Bombyx mori: one gene and its partner. The protein of the gene in region 1 binds, or shares a complex with, the protein of each later gene. Links are inferred from orthologs where the notes say so. Each region holds a gene or a part of one and is shown on either strand. Other genes may lie near its edges.

Region 1 (9,534 bases):
AAAAAAAAACTGAGACAGTAAAATTTAATTCGGCCAATCAGTAAAAATCGTAACTACAGATCAAAAAAACTTCAGAGTACAACTCGAATCTAAAATGAACGAAACAAATTCGTTATGTGAGGACAAGGGCAATGCATCAGCTGTTTCAAATCCAGTTAGAAGAGAACCAGTATCGAGTGGCACCTGACCGGCAAGCGAGTGAACTTGTTCAGCAGCCCTGCTCCGACCCTGTGCGTCGAGATTCACCACCAAACGGTACAAACTGGTCATAACGCCATTGTACACACGTGCTCGTCAAACTTGTCTTACACAAACTTAATAATATAAACACAGCTCAAGGATTTTGACTGTCTAAAAAACGCTACATGTAACAAAATACGGTTCCCGTAAAAGAAAACCTCGAAGTACGGCAAACGATTGAACCCAAGCAGCTAACAAAGAATATTGCAGTTGTGTTTCAGATGCAGTGCAATGTTACAAGGCCAACAAAGTTAGTGAAAAAATCTTCATACTGCTTAGAAGTAAGAAGAAAAACACCGAAATTTTTAATCCCCAAAAAAGTCTAAAGAGCGGTAGGGGCAATCAAAATTTGTACTTAAATATATGGAAACCGGACTTTATATGACAAGACTAATATAATTTCACAATTGTTAATTTATTACCTTCTTCGATTTGAATGTGCTATTCTATTAAACTAAATAAAGCTTTGGAAGTGTACTAATATTTTCGTTTATAACCAGTTATACTGTTTAGAGATGTATTATATATGCACATGTTTGTGAAGAAATAACCATAGGTATAGCCGCGAGCGTCGTGCCTGATTGCTTGGTCGCGCTGAAGGAGGAAAAACAAAATTACAAAAAGGCTGTGCCGCTGAGCTGCGTTCTGTATCAGTGTGCAGTCGCACACACATACATACAGCTAAAGCCCGTTGGTCACATCGTTACACAGACGCGCACAATTTACCCACACAAACAAACATTTCATATACCCTATTGCTACACGACATACGCTTCACGATACACATGTTTTAATTTAAAACAATAACGACCACATCCATTAACTTATGTATATTATCATCAATTGTCGTTTATTAGCTCGATAAAATACTATGAGTCCACATAAACAAAGCAATCTCGATTGAATCCATCTAAGGAAATGAATAGGACAGATAATTTGTCTAATTGCCGCTGTCACTTAAGTTTAAACTTATAAACGAAGCAAGCACGTCATAGCACTAGTCCTAAGGTCGGGGGCGGCGACGGCGCAGGCGCCCTGGCACAGGCCGTCACGCATGCACGTCAAACTAGTATCATGACGTCACGGCCCGCCCGGCAAAATTACAAAACCGGCCGGTCGGTTGTAGCACCGCGCGGCGCGCCAGCAAGCGGCGCGGGTGTGATGCGGGCGAGCGCAGTGGCGGACGCGCTGTCGACCGACCCCGACGTATCACGTACCGTGGGCGGCGTGTTCACGCGGCGCGCGGGCCGGAGCGCGGGTACTCGAGCACGCGACGAGCGGCGCTACGGAGCGCGGGCGCAGGTGCTCTGAGCGCAGCAGCCTCCGCGCGCCGCCGCCGCCACTCACCGCACTCCCCGCGCTACCCGCGCCCGACACTACGCACCGACATCAACTATTTATCTCCCGTGCTATGCTGGCCCTCCTGTCCGAGGACGTTGCCCACTGTCCACTCTCAAGTGCAACTTACGAAAAAATACTACTTCTTTTTGTAACATTAGAAACAAATTTTCGAATCGTTAAGTCGGTTAAACTTTAAATTGCGAATCTGTTTATTCATACCAAATTTCACGGAAAGGAAGGCTCCCATTTTTCTCAAAAAACTTTAATAGATGAATATTCTTAAATAATCAAGAAACAAATAATAATTAATCTCGCATAGAAGTAAGACTGCTAACTTTGAGAAAGTGGTACAAAACAAAATCGCTAAGGCACCGCCTGAGGCGACGAACGCCCTGACAGCCACGACTGCGCCGATAGTACATAATATAATCGATGAAGATAGATAGGTATCCACAGCAAAATCATTCAAAAACTAACAATCGGGTGCCGATTACACAATCTTACGCAATTGCCAATAATGAAATGCGAAGTTAGGATTTTTCTCTGAAAGCACTGTCCTGATTATTTACTAATATCTATTTAATGTGCCATATTTTGTTGGTTCCTCACACGAGACAAGATGTACACGCGTTGATGTCTTTTAAATGGAAGGAACAGCCTGTATCAACCGATTGCCTTGTTTTAGTACAAAGGAATTAAATAATACAAGATGTGCCCTCGGAGCTGTTGCAGTGTTAAATTTAATAAATATACTTGAAATATCTAGTATTGGCAGAAATTAATTGTGAAAAAATATATTTTATTGATCGGCACCTATCTGTAGCTTCCGTCATTCTAAGAACAGAAAATTTCATGAAATTTAAATTGATTTTGCATTAAACCATTTTTTGTAAAAGTCTTCAATTTACAAAAACAAAACTTCTACCTTATTACTGTTATTATTTATTAATATATTTGAAGATCAGTAACAATAAATCCTAGATCCACTACATATTGGTACGAGGGAGTCTCCGAGTGGGATAAGATGGCGCTATGTAGGTACTATTTATATATATAACTTCTATAAGCTCCGCTAAACAAGACGCGCGAATGATTTGTCGTAGAAATAGGTACGATCGTTGTCCAAAGACTGTTGGAACCAAACACCGATATACAAACTTACATATGTTTATACATACATAGGTATATGGACATTACCTAATCACTCAGTAGAGAGCATATAAACCTGTTACCACACAAAATTTTGCCCGATGTGGAAATCGAACCCACGACCCTCGAGGCTAGCAACCACGGGCTTAAGTTGTTAATATACAATGTACACCTACCTATAGATAGATACTTAGTAATGTACAAGGAATGCGGGAACTTCACTCGGTCCTTTATAGCCAATCTAGAGATAAATCTCGTACATTACAGAGCGCCGCCTCGATATAAGAACGCTGACGATTATTTAACTTCCCAGAATTATTTAAGTGATTGGTGAAAGCGACACAGGTGTGTGCGGAAGGATAAATGTTCAAACTTAATAACCATTGTCTTGACATGTTTAATGGTAAATTGTGAAATCTGTAGTCTAAGCTAGGAATATTTTGTAATCACCTTTTTGCTCTGTAGACTTTGTAAATTAATTAATTAATATCGCAACATAAATAGGAGATAAGGTTGGCTTTTTAGAAACATTGCTTTTAAACAGATATGTATGCAATAAGTTATGTTTTTCTCGACCTCAACTGTACCTAAACCTCATATCCATTATTAAATTAAATGGTATCCTAAAAAACTGAATCACAGATAACTTTAGTAAATTCAACAACTTGAAAGTTGAAATTATTGAGATCTCTACTGAACAAACGATGATAGTCCAATGAACAAATGGCTATTAAATTTTTAGCCTCAGTTCAACCAACCCTACGCTTAGGTACTGCAGAACGCATGGCAAACCATGACATGCTGGTCAGCAGCAATAAACTTCCCATTTGTTAGGGCCGAGACATAGTGGTTTAGAAATCAATGAAATAGCGGATAAATTAGCCAGGAATTCGGCCTTTGATCGATCCTGAGCTTGCCTGTGGGCTCCCTAAGAGCTTACTAACATCCGAATTAACTCCTGAGCGCCCATTAAAAGCAGATCGCTCTGGAAATAAACTATGAGAACTGCATGTGAAAGCCATACTCGGTATACCAAAGCTGAAACGTGACACAGTTTATAAAAAAAAACTAGGAATTCTAACAAGGACCTAAAAATGACACTGTAGGTCACTAATACTCTTGCACAAGCTAGGCCTCGCAACTAATCCTACCTGACGGTCGTGTGAGGAAGAAACTCCACTTCTCATACGGGTAGTAAGAAGTGGAGTTGACTGACATGATTTACAGACGGACTGCCGTGATTTAGGCAGCTTAAGATGCTCATTCCTCAAAGAGCATGTTCTCTGGCCCAAGGTCAAGATTATATATTCAAGAGAGTGAGTGAGAGAGACTACTATTAACAATATTAATGAGATAGCTACAACATATTTCAAGTTTATTCATTAGAAATACATCTTTGAAAATTAAGTGTCTACCAATAAAAACAACCATTGGGGAAATTTGTTGTGAATCTTTCTGTAGGTGGTACTTTTTAATATTTGCCTACAGTGTTTTATTTAGCTATTTCGTGATGTTCATTTATTAATTGCAACAAATAAATAAATATATTCACTTCACTACACCCTATATGAATTGGGGAAAAAACGCAGAAGGGTGTAGGCAGAAAATTACGAGATGAATAGCTATTCCCGAAGAAAGCCGAAACCCGTCCATCTGATTATACATGTTATTTTCTTTTAAGATCCACAGACTTAAAATACAATGTGTATCGTATTTTTTAATTTTGTTACAAATAAACTTCCTTAACAAATTACCTACTTTAAGACTCATAACGCACCACATTCTCCAACAGATGTTAAACAAACATTTATGTGTTCGATTGTAAAAATCAGCAGTCTAAGACCGGACAACGGCCATTTCTTATTGCAAGGAAAGAAATCTTTGAGGATATTTTCGTGATTGGGAGACAAAAAAAATTATTCAAACAATGTTTTCATTTTATTTTATTTAACATTTCTGTGCTAGACTTTGTTGAACGCAGCAATATCGACACTTTGTACCTGGAAAAAACATATGCGAAATGCTAGAGTATAAATGTAGAACAGATCATATTTTAAGTTCAATAATAATTTCTAGAAAGTTTTCTCCAATTTTCAAATGCTAATATTGACATTTTTAACCAAATTTATTCATATCATGTAACAGTATACCAATAACAAAAATTTGTAAAAGGTAATTATGAAATGATATTTATTAAGTAAAAAAAGCATTGCTGTCACAATATGAGATATTAAACATTAATGTTTCCATACTAACATTGCATTATTTTCAAACCTGTTCTTTACATAAGATGTTTTTTTTTACTGCTTAAGTGGGTGGACAAGCTCACAGGCCACCTGGTGTTAAGCGGTTACTGGAGCCCGTAGACATCCACAACGTAAATGCGCGACCCACCTTGAGATATAAGTTCTAAGGTCTCAGTATAGTTACAACGGCTGCCCCACCCTTCAAACCGAAACTGCTTCACGGCAGCAATAGGCAGGGTGGTGGTACCTACCCGTGCGGACTCACAAAAGGTCCTACCACCAGTAAACAATTGGTTCTCACCAATATAAATGCATGAGGTCATATTATTATGTGGGTATTCGTTATACATGAGCATATTATAATTCATAGTAAGATAGTCATTTATTATAACTCCAAATATCGTCTGGTTCCCTATTCTATTAAAGAACCGTGAATTTTGTAAATTGTCAGAATATTTTAAATTAATCTCTCTGATCTTATGTGTTCATATCTTTTTAATTCAATAAAACGGCAAACAATCTTATAGACCACACATTGAGAAATTACTGGAGCTCATAAAGAAAGCCCCTCCCTCATTTTAGCATGTTGACAGTTACAACTGCATTAATATAAGGGCTTTCTTGTCCTATACAAGTTCATAACAGGCACTACAGTGAATACTTAAGCATCAATATTTGATATTAGCTGCCATATACTTATTATTACCATTTTTTCTATAGTACACTGAACACTTACATAGTCTTCATTTTTCTCGATTTCCTCAGTAAGCCAATCAATAGAAACCTTATCATCTTCAACAACACAGGAAATTTGCAGCTTATGGATACCATAAGCCAAAGGCACTAGTTTAGCGGCACCCCACAAGAGGCCATCAGTGCTGATTGACCTTACAGCTTGTTCCAAGGCTGCCATATCAGTCTCATCATCCCATGGCTTTACATCCAGAATAATATTCGACTTTGCAATTAGCACTGGCTCTGTGAAATAATTATTTTTGGATTGGTTATTAATACTATACTTTTATACTATTTATCATAATATGGTCTAATTATTTTTTAGAAATTCTTAATATCAGCAAAATGGCAATTTTAAAGGTCATAAATATGATTTACATGTTACTATCGTAATCAAGAATGATGAAATTCATAGAAAAGCTTAAGTAGCCAACAAGCACTGGAAACTTGAAGGGATATTGTATGTTATGGTACTTGGCCTGAAAACCTGAATGACAATCTTTCTTATCCAAGCATTGTATTATGAATGTAATAAGTATGTATGTTAAATATTATGTATGTAATAGTTTTGGAATGCAGACCACACCCCAGAAAGTGTAGAATGTTATGCCTACAAAGTGACTGAGCTCAGGGCACAGCAGTATCCAATCTGTCACTTTAGAAACAGATCAGCACAGTAGATGCACAGAGGAGCAAGAATTATGTTTATAGCCTACTTTTAGCTTTCTTTGCATTATATGCAGCAAGACGCTCTTCCTTTATCTTAGCTGCTTCAGCACTCTCCTCTTCATCATCTGAACCAAACAAATCAACATCATCATCTTCGTCATCCTTATCAGTAGAAGCTGCTGCAGGTTTTTCTGACTGAAAGGTAAATGATAAATATATTTAGTAATACAATAGGTATTTTGTACATTTAAAATTATTGCATTTTAAATTTAAGAAGAGACAATAAATGCCTGAAATTGCCAATTTTGCTGATAAGACTCTGGAAGCTCTACAGTGGAATTAACTTTAAGACTTAACTTTGGAATTAATGGTTTGGCAACACATATGTTTTGGCATATAATCTTTCCCATTGTCTTCCAAATCTTGAAAAAAGATCACCCTATTTACAGAATATACAGGGTATATATTTCATGTCAGCTTATCATACAATGAAAATCCATGAAGTTGCCATTTCACAACACTGGCAATTTGTAACGTAATTTAAGTATGCTGGTAATAAATTCTAAGCTCAAATAAATTTATATAAATAATATTGAATTATATTTTCAAATTCAGTCATTTATTTATTGTTAGTCAATCATCATCAATATCTACATGATAAAATTCGAGTATAAGAAATCTGTCACAGTAAGAACGCCGCACATACAGCTCACAGCATTAATGACGTGTACAGAGGGCACACCACAAACGAACGTAAAACTCGTTTTAAGTTTGAATGCTTCTGATATGGAAATTTTAATCTAAAAAATCAACCCTGTGGTCGCTGAAAACTAAAGTAAGCAACAACGCGTTAAAGGTGATAGTGGAAGTTGAAAATATTCAATCAACTGCTAAGTTGCAGTAGCTTTCAATGTTAGCTTCAAAGAGACTTTCCAGTACGCAGATGCAGTACAGAAGGTACCACCAAACTGCCTATTTCTGCCGTGAAACAGTAATGCGTTTCGGTTTGAAGGGTGGGGCGACTGTTGTAACTATATGAAACCATATCTCAAGGTAGGTGGCGCATTTACGTTGTGGATGTCTATGGGCTCCAGTAACCACTTAACACCAGGTGGGCTGTGAGCTCGTCCACCTATCTAAGCAATAAAAAAATATGTAATACTAATGTCCCAAATCTATTATTACTTTCCCCTTATAAATTCAATGCTTACTTGAATACAATCAGAGGTGATACTGCTGGATGATTCCAAGGTTTCAACACGGACTTGCAGGCTGATGACTAAATTACGTAAATCATCTATAGCCTTTTTCAAATCCTTGTTTTCGTTTTCTAAGCTGATGACTTTAGTACTGAGCTCTGTATTAGGAACACCCGCCAAAGTTGCTACACTATCCATCTGAAAAAAAAAGTGAATACTATACTCTCTATTGCACTACTCGACATGAAAATCTATTAATTAATTAGCATGTTTATATAGGCATATTGAAATAAGACAATAAATTTAAATAAATGTTGTATACTAATTTACAATACTAATTTTCTACAGTAAAATAAACAAGAATGATTCTCTAATATTTCATAGCACAAAAAAGCCAAGCCAAAAATTGCTACTGAAAATGACCTCTATTGCCTTTATTTTATATGAAATGAACTGAGCCAAAATTTTATTGTTTTACTTATTTCAATTTCACTTTATTTTATTAGTTCAATGTAGATCTTATGCAAAATGTAATCTAGCCATTCTCAAATACAAAGTGGATTGAACGGATTATTTTAACACAAGCAGAAAACTATATTAGCTTTCTAATGACGTTAGAGTTACTTGTCACTAATATACTCATATTTGATAAACCTGAAATCTAAAGCAAAAGCAGCTAGTGGACATGTTCTCTGTGTCACAGAGTACCCTGCATATAAGCTGATTTTTATTTGTTATAACATAAAAAATGAGAAATTAAAACTTTGTCTTTGCTTATTGAAACAATAACCTTACACACAGATATTTGACAAATAAATACTGTGACAAATCTAATAGATTTGTGTGAAGCAATGTGTGAAATATAATAAAACAACATCTACTCACACATTCTAAAGAATTTTTAATATGCTGTCTAGCCTTTGCGACTTCACTGGCCAATGATGATCGAGCTAACGATAATGGTGCTTGGACCTACAAAATCATCATTGAATTACGTTAACTATCGACAAACTCCATTCTTTAAAGTATAATTTATAGAATTACTCAGATGAAAAAATGTATGAATAATTTTTTTTATTAAAAACTTACCTTCGACAAAGATTCATAATAAGCTTTTTCAGCATCATTGTAAACATTCCGGTCTAACCAAACCTTCTCGTGTAATAAAGCAGCCATGCTAAAATATTAAAATGAAACTACTTAGTACTCATTTAAGCATTTTTAAGTATAAATTGATGATGAAAAATTATTCGATGAACGTGAAACGATATTTAATTGTGGATTAATTAATCACCATATTATGTAAAAAATTGAGCGAAAATAAAGGCGGTAGCAAAAGTTTCAAACCTAAGCTAGGTTATCTCTAAACTACCTACCTACGTGTTTCTTGTCATCTAATAATTTTAAATATTTACCAACCTGATTATTCCAAAATTTAGATTTGAATTGTATTTAAATACAATAAAAACGTTGGTTCATACAATTAAATTGAATTTTTACGTAAATAAAGTTAATAGAGCAAACCTAACAGCCATTCAAATGATGACGGAAACTAAAAAGACAAAGACAACCAAAAACAATTGACAAGTGCTAAAAATTGAAATGTGTCCAGTGAGTGGTCCAGTGTTGTTAGTTTCGTCTATGGAGGAAAGTTCTATAGTTTCTTTTAATGAGAGGCAAAAGGATCATAGAACGGATATTCATCTCTTTTATAAAAAAAAAATTAAGCCATTTCTGTACAAACATAAAAATCATTCGCATTACTGAAATTGTTGTCCGAATCTCGTTCCGCAAAACGAACTTATCATTTTTTTGTATTGGAGTTAATGTTTTCCAGTCAAGAAATGAAAGACGATTTGAGAAGCAATCACGAGTGACACAAGTCTTAATAGCACAGATTTACATTAAATGTAATAAGAATGGACAAAACAAGTTGTGTTTGTGTTATATCATTA
Region 2 (10,439 bases), on another chromosome or scaffold:
TCAATTTTCGCAGTCAAGTAGATAACCATATGACTCTAAGGTCTAAATTAAAAAAATCATATCATATAGACCGGTTTTTTTTCCAGGCATTGGGCTAAACTCTTAAAAATTTGTGACTAGCTACAGAACGTTAATCGAGTAAATAACAATGTTTTGCCACTTACCATTCTAAAGTTTTACTACACCACACTCAATCAGAGATAAATGTGCGTCTGACTGTTTGTAATCACAAACTGATTCCGATAAAATTAAATCAGAAGCAACAAAAATACCACAGCAGATTCACAGTTACCTACCATCGATGACCATCGATCTAAATTACGCACGGATTGTATTGTTGCCATGAATTGTATGAAGCTGCTCAAGGGAGGACCATTAAAATGAATTAGGTCAATATTTCATAGGTTCAATAATCAATCCAAAAAGTTCATTAGAAGTAATACTAATATATAAATTCATTTCCGTATGTTTTAATTTTATGGGTCTCGATATATATTTAGTCTATTGTAAATTCGTTAATAATAGTCAGGAGAACGTGAGTAGCGCCACCTACCTTGAGATATATTGTTTTGTACAATTGTATCAGCTACCTATAAGAAATAAGTTAAAACTAAATTTAGAGCAGAACTATCTACACAAATCTGTATTAGTTCCAAATTCAAAAGCTAGATTAGGCTAGACTCTTGAGCTTCAACTATTTTCTTCTGTTCTGCAAAAAACATTAGTAATAGTGGTAAAACAACTACGATTGCATTAAAAGAATCAGTAGCAGTGAAATGTAAAAGTTAATACACGGTTAATGTTTCAAAAAAATCATGAAATATTCAGTTCCAATAAAGTTACTAATACTTAAAGTGTATAAGCTCGTCCATGATAGTATTAGACAAATAGCGTTTTTAATCATTTAAATTGTGATGTGGCCATATTACGAGGTTTAACAGAAAAGTTAGCTAATACTTTATTCGATAAACTACTTTAGTCCACTTAAAAGAAGAACACAGCAACATAAATCATTCAATTCTCCTAGCAAAAACTAATTGCAGAAGTTGACTTTGTTCTATAAAATCATTCATTTAATTGCTCGCTTAGGAAGAAGCTAACCCACAAAATGAGCCACTGATCAGCATGGATGACATAAGACGTGCTGCTAGCATCACACAAATAAACTTCGCAGGTCAGACGATATTAAATTGTTGTCAAATATTAATTTGTGCCCAAGACATGGCCATAATAAATGTGTTTCAATCCTTCACGTCAGCTTGAAGACTTTTGAAAGATACAAAGACAGCCAGACACAGACATTCTCATTCAGCGTTTTGTTACAATGATAAAGAGCTACACAAGACTATATTCTTTAACATACGGTGTTTCTGATCGAGTGATGTATAGACTAGCTGTACGGACCGTGAGAGAGAATTAATAATATAACGTCCCGTGGTATTGGTAGTTTCATTAGCCCGAAAATAAGGACCTAAACTACAGTATGTACAGTCACTTGGAAATAGGCTTTTGGTTGCAAGGCATTTCCAATATTAGTCTAATTCTAATCTAATTAAAGAAAGAAAAAGGGATTTTTTTAATAAACTAAAAAATTGATTAACAGATAACCGTGTGTATGCAATTTTCACTTAATTTCTATTTCAGCTGTCACAGAATGTCAATGTCAAAGGGCAAAATCCTCCCTCGCCAATATTTCCTCGGCCCCCCTTCTCTTTCCGAAAACTCCAACCATGGCGGCCGGGGTAGGTGTAATTTACCTTGAAATATCTTGTTAATCCAGTCATTGATAGAAAACTTATTAATAAAACCCAATGATAATGAAAGTATTAATAATATTACGCATTTATTTTTTCAGGTACTTTACACTTATCCGGAAAACTTCCGCGCTTATAAAGCGTTGATCGCCGCACAATATTCCGGGACTGATGTGAAAGTAGCACCGAATTTCGTATTTGGCGAGACCAACAAGTCCGAAGACTTCTTGAAGAAGTTTCCTGCCGGAAAAGTGAGTTTAAACCGGCGTATTGTGCATAGTAATATTTCGGCATATGTTGAGTGTTGTGACGTGTAATATCGGTGTATATTTTAGGTGCCTGCATTCGAAAGTGCCGATGGAAAGGTGCTTCTAACTGAAAGCAATGCCATCGCTTACTACGGTGAGTTTTTTTATTTTCAAATACACCTACAAAACTAACTTAAATAAATCTAACCTAACTAACTAGAAGAATACCTAATAAACCAAAGTTAAAAAAAGATAAGGTTGTAAATACCTCTTGCGAAGTTATTTCAAATAAATTTAACTATATAATTCGTCGATGGTACAAGTATGAAAGCGTTTTTCTACTTAATCTGATTTAAAAACTCATAAAATCGACGAATCATGACTTTTCCTTGATGAAACAATACTCATAATTTCCGTTAAATATAATTATAGAGGACACTCACAAATCACTAATAATATTTAATTATTGCATAATATTTTATAATCCCAATCATACACCCTTTCACTTCAAGTAGTATCAGAAGTTAAAAGAAAAATACAACATTTAACTTGAATTAAAAAAGGAACTTTACAGTTGCCAATGAAAGTCTCCGCGGAGGAGATCTGGCTACCCAAGCCCGTGTCTGGCAGTGGGCATCATGGTCTGACAGCGAACTACTGCCTGCTTCCTGCGCTTGGGTCTTCCCTTACCTTGGTATCATGCAATTCAACAAACAGGTAATTGAAGAATTTGTGATATTAAAATATATATGTGTTAGTCTACTGATATAAGTGATTACATAAAAATATATGAATATTATCATTATTCAGAATTAAACTTTTTTTTTGCTTAGATATATGGCTCACGGCCCTACCTGATGTTAAGTGGTTATCGGACCCCATAGATATCTACAACGTAAATGCTGCCACCCACCTTGAGACATGAGTTGTAAGGTCTCACTCTTAACTGTACAACGGTTGCCCTGCCTTTCAAACCGAAACTCATTACTGCTTCAGGGCAGAAATAGGCAGGGTGGTGGTACCTACTCGTGCAGACTCACAAGACTTCCTACCATCAATAAAAATTTAGTAATATTAAACATAGGATCTTGTACGTTTTCTCTAATTTATTATATTGTCATGGTGCTTAATAAGCTACTCAATATTACAATTATAAGCCACAAACTACTGGCAACTGATATAAGGATTAAATAATTCCAGAATGTTGAACGTGCAAAGTCTGACCTACTGGCCGCCTTAAAAGTACTGGACGGACATCTTCTCACACGCACCTTCCTTGTTACCGAGAGAATCACACTTGCCGATGTCATTGTCTTCAGTACACTGCTGCATGCTTTCCAGGTGAGGATAAGGAAGTTATCCTATGAACTACTGAAAACTTTCTTTTAAGATTTGAATTGATTTTCTTCACCACTTGGAGTAAGCACAGTTAATAAAGTGATACTTCAGAGAATCATTAAACAATACATTACTAAATACATAAAAGTGTTTGTAAAGCAAATAGGAGAACAATAAAAAAGCATAAGACTAAAAAAAGCAAATTGTTATCGAAAATTAAATAGTACCTTAATAATAATAATGAATTTTTTTTTTATTGCTTAGATGGGTGGACGAGCTCACAGCCCACCTGGTGTTAAGTGGTTACTTGAGCGTATAGACAACGTAAATGCGACACCCACCTTGAGATATAAGTTCTAAGGTCTCAAGTATAGCTACACAACGGCTGCCCCACCCTTCAACCCAAAACACATTACTGCTTCACGGCAGAAATAGGCGCGGTGGTGTTACCTACCCGCGCGGACTCACATGGTCCTCCCACCAGTTTTTCAAGAAAGCAAGTCACAATCGATTGGGTTTGAATAGAATGCCATAAAAGCTATTTTACTTCAGCACGTGCTAGACCCGAGCGTCCGTTCGTCGCTGATAAACGTTCAGCGTTGGTTCCTGACCGTCGCCCACCAGCCGCAAGTGTCGGCCGTCGTCGGCTCGCTCACGCTCTGTGCGGCTCCTCCTACATACGACCCTAAAAAGTACCAGGAGTTAGCTGGTGCACAGAACAAGAAGGTACTGTAACTGTTACAGTTTTTTTATCAAAAAATATAATTTAATTATGTTTGTTCAAATTTTAATAGTAATAAGAAAGCAATTATCGAATAAGAACAGCTAAACAGCATTACATATCGTCTTTCCGCATTAAAAGTGTACAATTTCCAAAAATATTCGAAATTGAGTTAATATGCGGAATCATTTGGTATCACCAGTATTTTTCTCAAAATACCGTCAAGAGATCGTAGTTTAGTTTAACTTTTTAGTTTACCTATGTTACTACTATTAATAAAATTAATACATAATTTTAGCTTGCCTTTAAAAGGCAGATAATGTAACTGCTAAAAAATAAAAAATAAATGTTGCAAAGATGATTAATATTAAAAATATCACATGTTAAACCTTAGTAATAACCATATAACCATAAAATTAGTAAGTTTTGAGATTATACAGTTTTATTACGGGAATGCTATGCCAAGGAAATTTTGTTACTTGCAATATATACCATTAAAAATATACTTTTGAATATAGATAGAAAAAAATGTTGCTTAAACTAAAACTTCCCAAAATTGAATTAATAGGAGGGCAAAAAAGATAAGAAGTGTGAAAAGAAAGAGCAACCCAAGAAGAAGGAGGAAGTTGTTCCTGACCTTGAAGAGGAGGAGCTTGAAAAGCCTAAGGAGTCCAAGGACCCCTTCGACTCTATGCCTAAAGGGTAAATAACTGTTATTCACTGAAATGAAAAACAATTCACAAACAAGCAAGCCCTGTTGTTTGATTGTTTAGTGAAAGTGCTTATATACCATGTGTTCTGGTTCATTTTCCAGACTGACCTTTTTTTCTGAAAGATATTTGGTATGTGCATGATCTGATTTTTTATGTATTTTTTGTACTTGAAAAAATCCCAGTTGTGGTTCTTTGAATGTTAAATGAAAGTTTTGGTTTAGTTGGTCATTCAAGAAGGAATCCGTAGTATATAATAAGGGTTTCGGTTAGCCATTAAAATAGTCAGTTCATGAAACTCACATATTGATTAGTATGTTTGCTTAGTCTTGTAATTCAGTTAATTAAAGAAATAAAAATAATAGTTGTGACTAAGAGGGAGGGAATCCCCTTCCAAAGTTTCTGAACGACACTAAAAATATTAATACAGTCAAGGTGTTAAAAATGATACCTTCATTAGAACAATTAACATTTAATAAAAGAGATATCAAACTTTGTTACATTTTTATTTCAGTACCTTCAACATGGATGATTTCAAGCGTGTCTACTCCAACGAAGACGAAGCTAAATCTATTCCTTACTTCTGGGAGAAGTTTGACCCCGAGAACTATTCCATTTGGTATGCTGAATACAAATACCCCGAGGAACTCGCTAAAGTGTTCATGAGCTGTAACCTTATTACGGGTAAGTTTTTTTTTTAATACTTATACAGGTGAATGAGCTCATTACTAGTGCATTTATGGAATAGACAGGATGGTACTACTGAATTGCATTGACACACCTCTCAGAATAATTTTATAAATTGTACGAGTTTTCTTTTATCATAGAATGTCCCTATTGATCATCAAGGGTCTATGAGGATAAAACAAGCAGAAATTGCATAGCAGCCCAGAACTTACAAGTGGACTTTTATGTTTTTACATATAATTTTCGTCTATTCACCAGGTATGTTCCAGAGGTTAGACAAAATGCGCAAACAGGCTTTCGCATCCGTCTGCCTGTTTGGTGAAGACAACAATTCCACCATCTCTGGAGTGTGGGTGTGGCGCGGAAAGGAGCTCGTGTTCCCGCTGTCGTCTGATTGGCAGGTTTGTATACAAATGACATAGTTGCAAAGTAGCATAAAAGCAACCGTGCTGACCGATACAATATATATATATATATATATATATAATGTACTAGCTGACCCTGCAAACTTCGTAGTGCCTGAACCGATATTATAAAAGACCTAAACTTCTGTATAAACTTAAAACAACAAAAGGAATCTGATGGACAGGGGACACATCAATGGAAAAATAAAATTGTTATTTTTGTTTAATTCCGAGCATTTGCATATTTATCTACTTTTTAAACCTTCTCTGGACTTTCACAAATAATTCAAGACCAAAATTAGCCAAATCTGTCCAGCTGTTCTTGAGTTTTAACGAGACTAACGAACAGCAATTCATTTAGTAGTGTAGTTTACCATTCTAAAAGCCAAAAAGTTAATAATATTCATAGGAAAACAAAATTGATTCACAAAACTTAGTTAATTGCTCTTTTAGTAAGTTTATATTTTGAGTGCAATATGTGTAATGATGAGGGGTATCTGATGAGAATTGCTGCCCTGACTAATGTTTAATGGTGTGTGTGTGCATGCAGGGTAGACAACAATAGTGCAGTTACAGTATTTTTCAACAGACATGGCTTTAGAAATAATGTCATTTGTGTGTATTGATTTTATATCGCCGGGCATTTAAAATTAACATTATTATATTCACCCCCACAAAGATTCTCATCTTAACGCCCCCACAACTGCTGTAGAGAATCCAACACTCATATAAATATTATCCTATCCATTAAGTACATGTATTTTCTACATGGATACCAAGTTTCAAGTCAATCGGATGCATGGTTTAGTAGTTATAACGGAACATCCGTAAAAACCACTGTAGATTTATATATTAGTATAGATAACAACCAATCTACAGAAACTAATGAAATAATCGTTTTACAGGTGGACTACGAGTCCTACGACTGGAAGAAACTGGATCCTTCGAGCGAGGAGACCAAGAAACTTGTCCAGGACTACTTCTCGTGGAACGGAACCGACAAAGACGGTAGAAAGTTCAACCAGGGCAAGATATTCAAGTGAATGCCGACCAACGTCCAGCCAATGTATACACATTTCATACAATAACTATAAAAAACTTTACAAAAAAGAAACATTCAAATGTAAATAGGTGGATGTTGGCAATTTTCGGAACTGTCCTCAATTTATACAATTTTTATTAAAACATCAGTAATAAATGATTTTCAATCGCCGTGTAGTGCAGTGCCGAAAACGACGCGGCGTTGCATGAAAAAATGATAATACTTGCATTTATTCAGTGTCGTTCCCGTGATCGATATCTCATCTCAACAAGTCAAATGTGTAATTAAACATGTTTTTTTTATTTATGAGTAAACGGTGGTTTTATTTCTCCTGCCTTAAAATTTATCCTTAGCTTTATTTGTTAGGAAAAGAAACGTGCCGTCCAGTAAGTGCGGAGTGTCGTGAACTGTACGCTTTATGTGTGACAAACAGCGCATTGGTTTTGTCTGTTTATTGGACAAATTGGAAATTGAAACATAAAGACAAAAAAAAATGTTTTTTGTTGTCTAGACAATACTGGGGCCAGTGCGACACGTCCTTTTTTTTTTTTCCTACCTTAGGTGAGCTCACGGGGCTCCAACCTGACGACGTTGCTAACACGAGCCCTAGCAAGATCCGTGCTTCGCAGAATCTACCACCGGATCGGCAACGCGACCCACTGAGAAGATCCGGCGAGAAACTCAGTGGGCTGTCTGAGAGTTAGTTTGCTCGTCGAGCCCTTCGTCGCAAGCGACGGGTCCGACGAGAACGGTGACCAGTGCTTGAAGTACGTAGAAGCACCGTTAGTGGATCGGGAGGATCCGCGATGACGTGTTTTGGGCGACGTCGACTGCTTTCCATTCTTTCTGCAGGATCGGGAATGCGACACGTGCTACTTCGTCGCGTTTAAACTGACAATTTATTCAGTAACTGAATTTAGAACAGTGTAATCAGGAACTTCTAAATTTGCTTCTGAATTCAGTCGACTAAATTTAACCAAGTGTAATAAGCCTTTTAAATGAATCCATATTTGACTATTCAGAAAATTGCCTTGATTACTTTAGGATGGTTACTTTTTAGGATTTTAAATTAATCCGCATAATTAATTTTCTGTGGAATTACGAAGGACGTCTATATCAACCAGTGGGGTTTTAAAAATACCAGCCAAAGAAATTTCTCTTGAAATTTCAAAACATCGATAATAAGAATAAATATACCTATATATTTTGTAGGTAACTATGTAATTAGCCTAATAATGTATAGGTAATTAAATTATGAATAAGTGCGCTGCGAGCCCCTGTGCTCGTGAAAAAAGTTTTTTTACTTGATCTAATTTGGAAATAGTGTATGATGTACATAAAGTTTAATATTACCAGTTTGAGGTTTAGAAATATTACACATACTTTTGATATTACTTGCCCATTTTTAATAAAATTGCTTTAATATTTTCTTAGTAGACTAACTTTAATTTTAAGTGTAATTTCTCATCGCTACCAATAAATGAAATAAAACACACGTTATGAAAGCAAAATTCATATTTTTTTTCTCACATATCAGACTTTTGTCTAAATCGATAGAATTTTTAAACGTTTAGGTACATTTTCTTACAGGATATTATTGCGTTACGTAAATTATTTCTATGAAACTATTCGCTAAGTAAACATGCGAAGTAACAATAGTATAGAGCAAAAGCAGTAATAATTAGTTTAGTATTAAAATGAGGAAAATAGATATGAAACCATGGTAAAGTCGAACGATTAAGAGCTATGAAGTACCATGTATCCACGTTGAGAAGTCTTAAGACTGAAAAAATATGCTCTAAATTAGAATCTTTTTTTTTTATTGCTTAAATGGGTGGACGAGCTCACAGCCCGCCTGGTATTAACCGGCTACTGGAGCCCTTAGAAATCTACAACGTAAATGCGCACACCCATTTCAAGCAAAGGTCTCAGTATAGTTACAACGGCTGCCCCACCCTTCAAACCGAAGCGCATTACTGTTTCACGGCAGATTAAGCGAGGTGGTGGTACCTACGCGTGCGGACTCACAAGAAGTCCTACCACCAGTGCAAATTATAATTTTGCGGGCTTAATTTATTAGCGATTGTAGTTAACAAAACTCACAGGTCACCTTATTTTAAGATGGGGGTTGTAACTTGTAATGATACCTGTAACTCATGTGCTAATCTTAGACATTATTTTGAAAATTAAATCAGATTAATGAAGTTCACTCGGATAATATGAACCGAAAAGTAAATATGTTTTAAAATGGATTTTATATCACGTTTATGATATGATTTTCGAACAATTTACATCAGTTATCATGGTACCTTACCATGGCTTCAGAATATAAGAAAAATCTCGAGGTACACAAGAATAAGAATAAATAAATGCATAACTTTGCGCTGTTCTTATTACATTCATACACGCCATGTCTCTATGTAAATAGATAAAATACTAATAAAATTTTGCTAAATGGCAGCATTTGAAATTTTGAGCCTTGAGAATAAAACCCCATCACAATTTATTATTTAACCTAATTCTATTTAAATATTTGATTTGTTATGTGCTTGTAACAATATGTAGTATTTTGAACATTTTAACGTCTTCGATAAAATTCAGAAGTTTAGAAATTACTCCACTTGGCAAAGGGACGAGGTTTCTATCTTAAATAGCCTATGTAGGAAATACTCTTTTATATAGACAATAGTTATCGTTGACGATATATATAAACTATTGGAACTTGATTCACAACTTTATCCTAAATAATTGATTTACAGGATTACAATTTAAAACATTCATTTAAATTGGGATCTATTTCCAACGCAACAATTTACATTTTTCAAATATAAAATTTTCCACGTAGTTTTAACATTCACTTTCCCGCTAAAACTTTTGATGTTGTCATTTGGATTTTAATTAGAGTTCCGAGAAAAATCACTAGTAGAATTAATATTCTCAGGCAAGCTGCGCAATAATGAGTAATAGCATTCCGATTTAATATTGAATACAGAAATTTTATCGAAATCGCCATGTTGCCGAAGTTGCCAGTTATTAATGTCACTAAAAATCATTGATAAAAAATTGTATTTTACCGAATCTTTTTCATTGCATTCAATATAGATTATTTATTGGTATGCTTCAGGGGACTTAGACAACGCTACATTTTACTAATTTTAATGCGTGTACAGAAAATTGGTGGGATTGACCATAAGACAACGAAAAATTACTTCGAGGGTTGAATGAGTATTTGGTTCAAGCGACATTTCTCTACGCTACATTTATCTTTGTAATTAACGGTGCGTTTTATTTGGTATTACCATCGGTTCGCTGGTGTTAACCGAACTTCAATTATGTTTACTCCATTCAAATAGATGGAGTAGTTTTTTTGTGATGGCAATTTTTCCAAATTTTAAACTTCAAATGGCTTTCCTGTAAAGTTGCAAAAATGTCGCTTAAAGCCAAATACGCTTTCACCCCCGGATTTGGTATACCTTACGTCATCCAATACAGCTGTGTACATTGTAAAAGTTTTACCACTATCCGAATGTATGTG

Evidence for each region.
Region 2: the proteins of Ef-1d (region 1) and Ef-1g are in contact, whole or in part, in a crystal structure (PDB 5JPO), measured with the Homo sapiens proteins. The link is inferred for Bombyx mori from reciprocal best matches to the Homo sapiens genes EEF1D and EEF1G. Residues at the interface, in NP_001123527.1 of Homo sapiens: Ala2, Asn4, Phe5, Leu6, His8, Glu9, Ile11, Trp12, Phe13, Lys15, Phe16; in NP_001395.1 of Homo sapiens: Tyr9, Trp13, Arg14, Phe40, Gly41, Asn44, Gly56, Lys57, Val58, Ser104, Val107, Pro108, Ser111, Thr112, Phe115, Ile120, Met121, His123, Asn130, Glu134.

The regions. Positions count from the first base shown.
Region 1 is NC_085111.1:9,760,228-9,769,761, reverse strand, and holds Ef-1d (elongation factor 1 delta), read right to left. Parts: upstream 9,059-9,534; 5' UTR 8,999-9,058; intron 8,757-8,998; 5' UTR 8,756-8,756; coding exon 8,669-8,755; intron 8,552-8,668; coding exon 8,465-8,551; intron 7,778-8,464; coding exon 7,592-7,777; intron 6,576-7,591; coding exon 6,428-6,575; intron 5,955-6,427; coding exon 5,713-5,954; coding exon of another isoform or gene 5,638-5,712; exon of another isoform or gene 4,731-5,637; coding exon 4,692-4,730; 3' UTR 4,672-4,691; downstream 1-4,671.
Region 2 is NC_085124.1:12,660,380-12,670,818, reverse strand, and holds Ef-1g (elongation factor 1 gamma), read left to right. Parts: upstream 1-1,730; coding exon 1,731-1,742; intron 1,743-1,855; coding exon 1,856-2,005; intron 2,006-2,089; coding exon 2,090-2,156; intron 2,157-2,576; coding exon 2,577-2,719; intron 2,720-3,202; coding exon 3,203-3,343; intron 3,344-3,892; coding exon 3,893-4,066; intron 4,067-4,629; coding exon 4,630-4,763; intron 4,764-5,285; coding exon 5,286-5,455; intron 5,456-5,716; coding exon 5,717-5,859; intron 5,860-6,767; coding exon 6,768-6,905; 3' UTR 6,906-7,218; downstream 7,219-10,439. Other genes in the region: Cnb (calcineurin B), read right to left, coding at 165-167. UniProt on the Homo sapiens protein: Probably plays a role in anchoring the complex to other cellular components.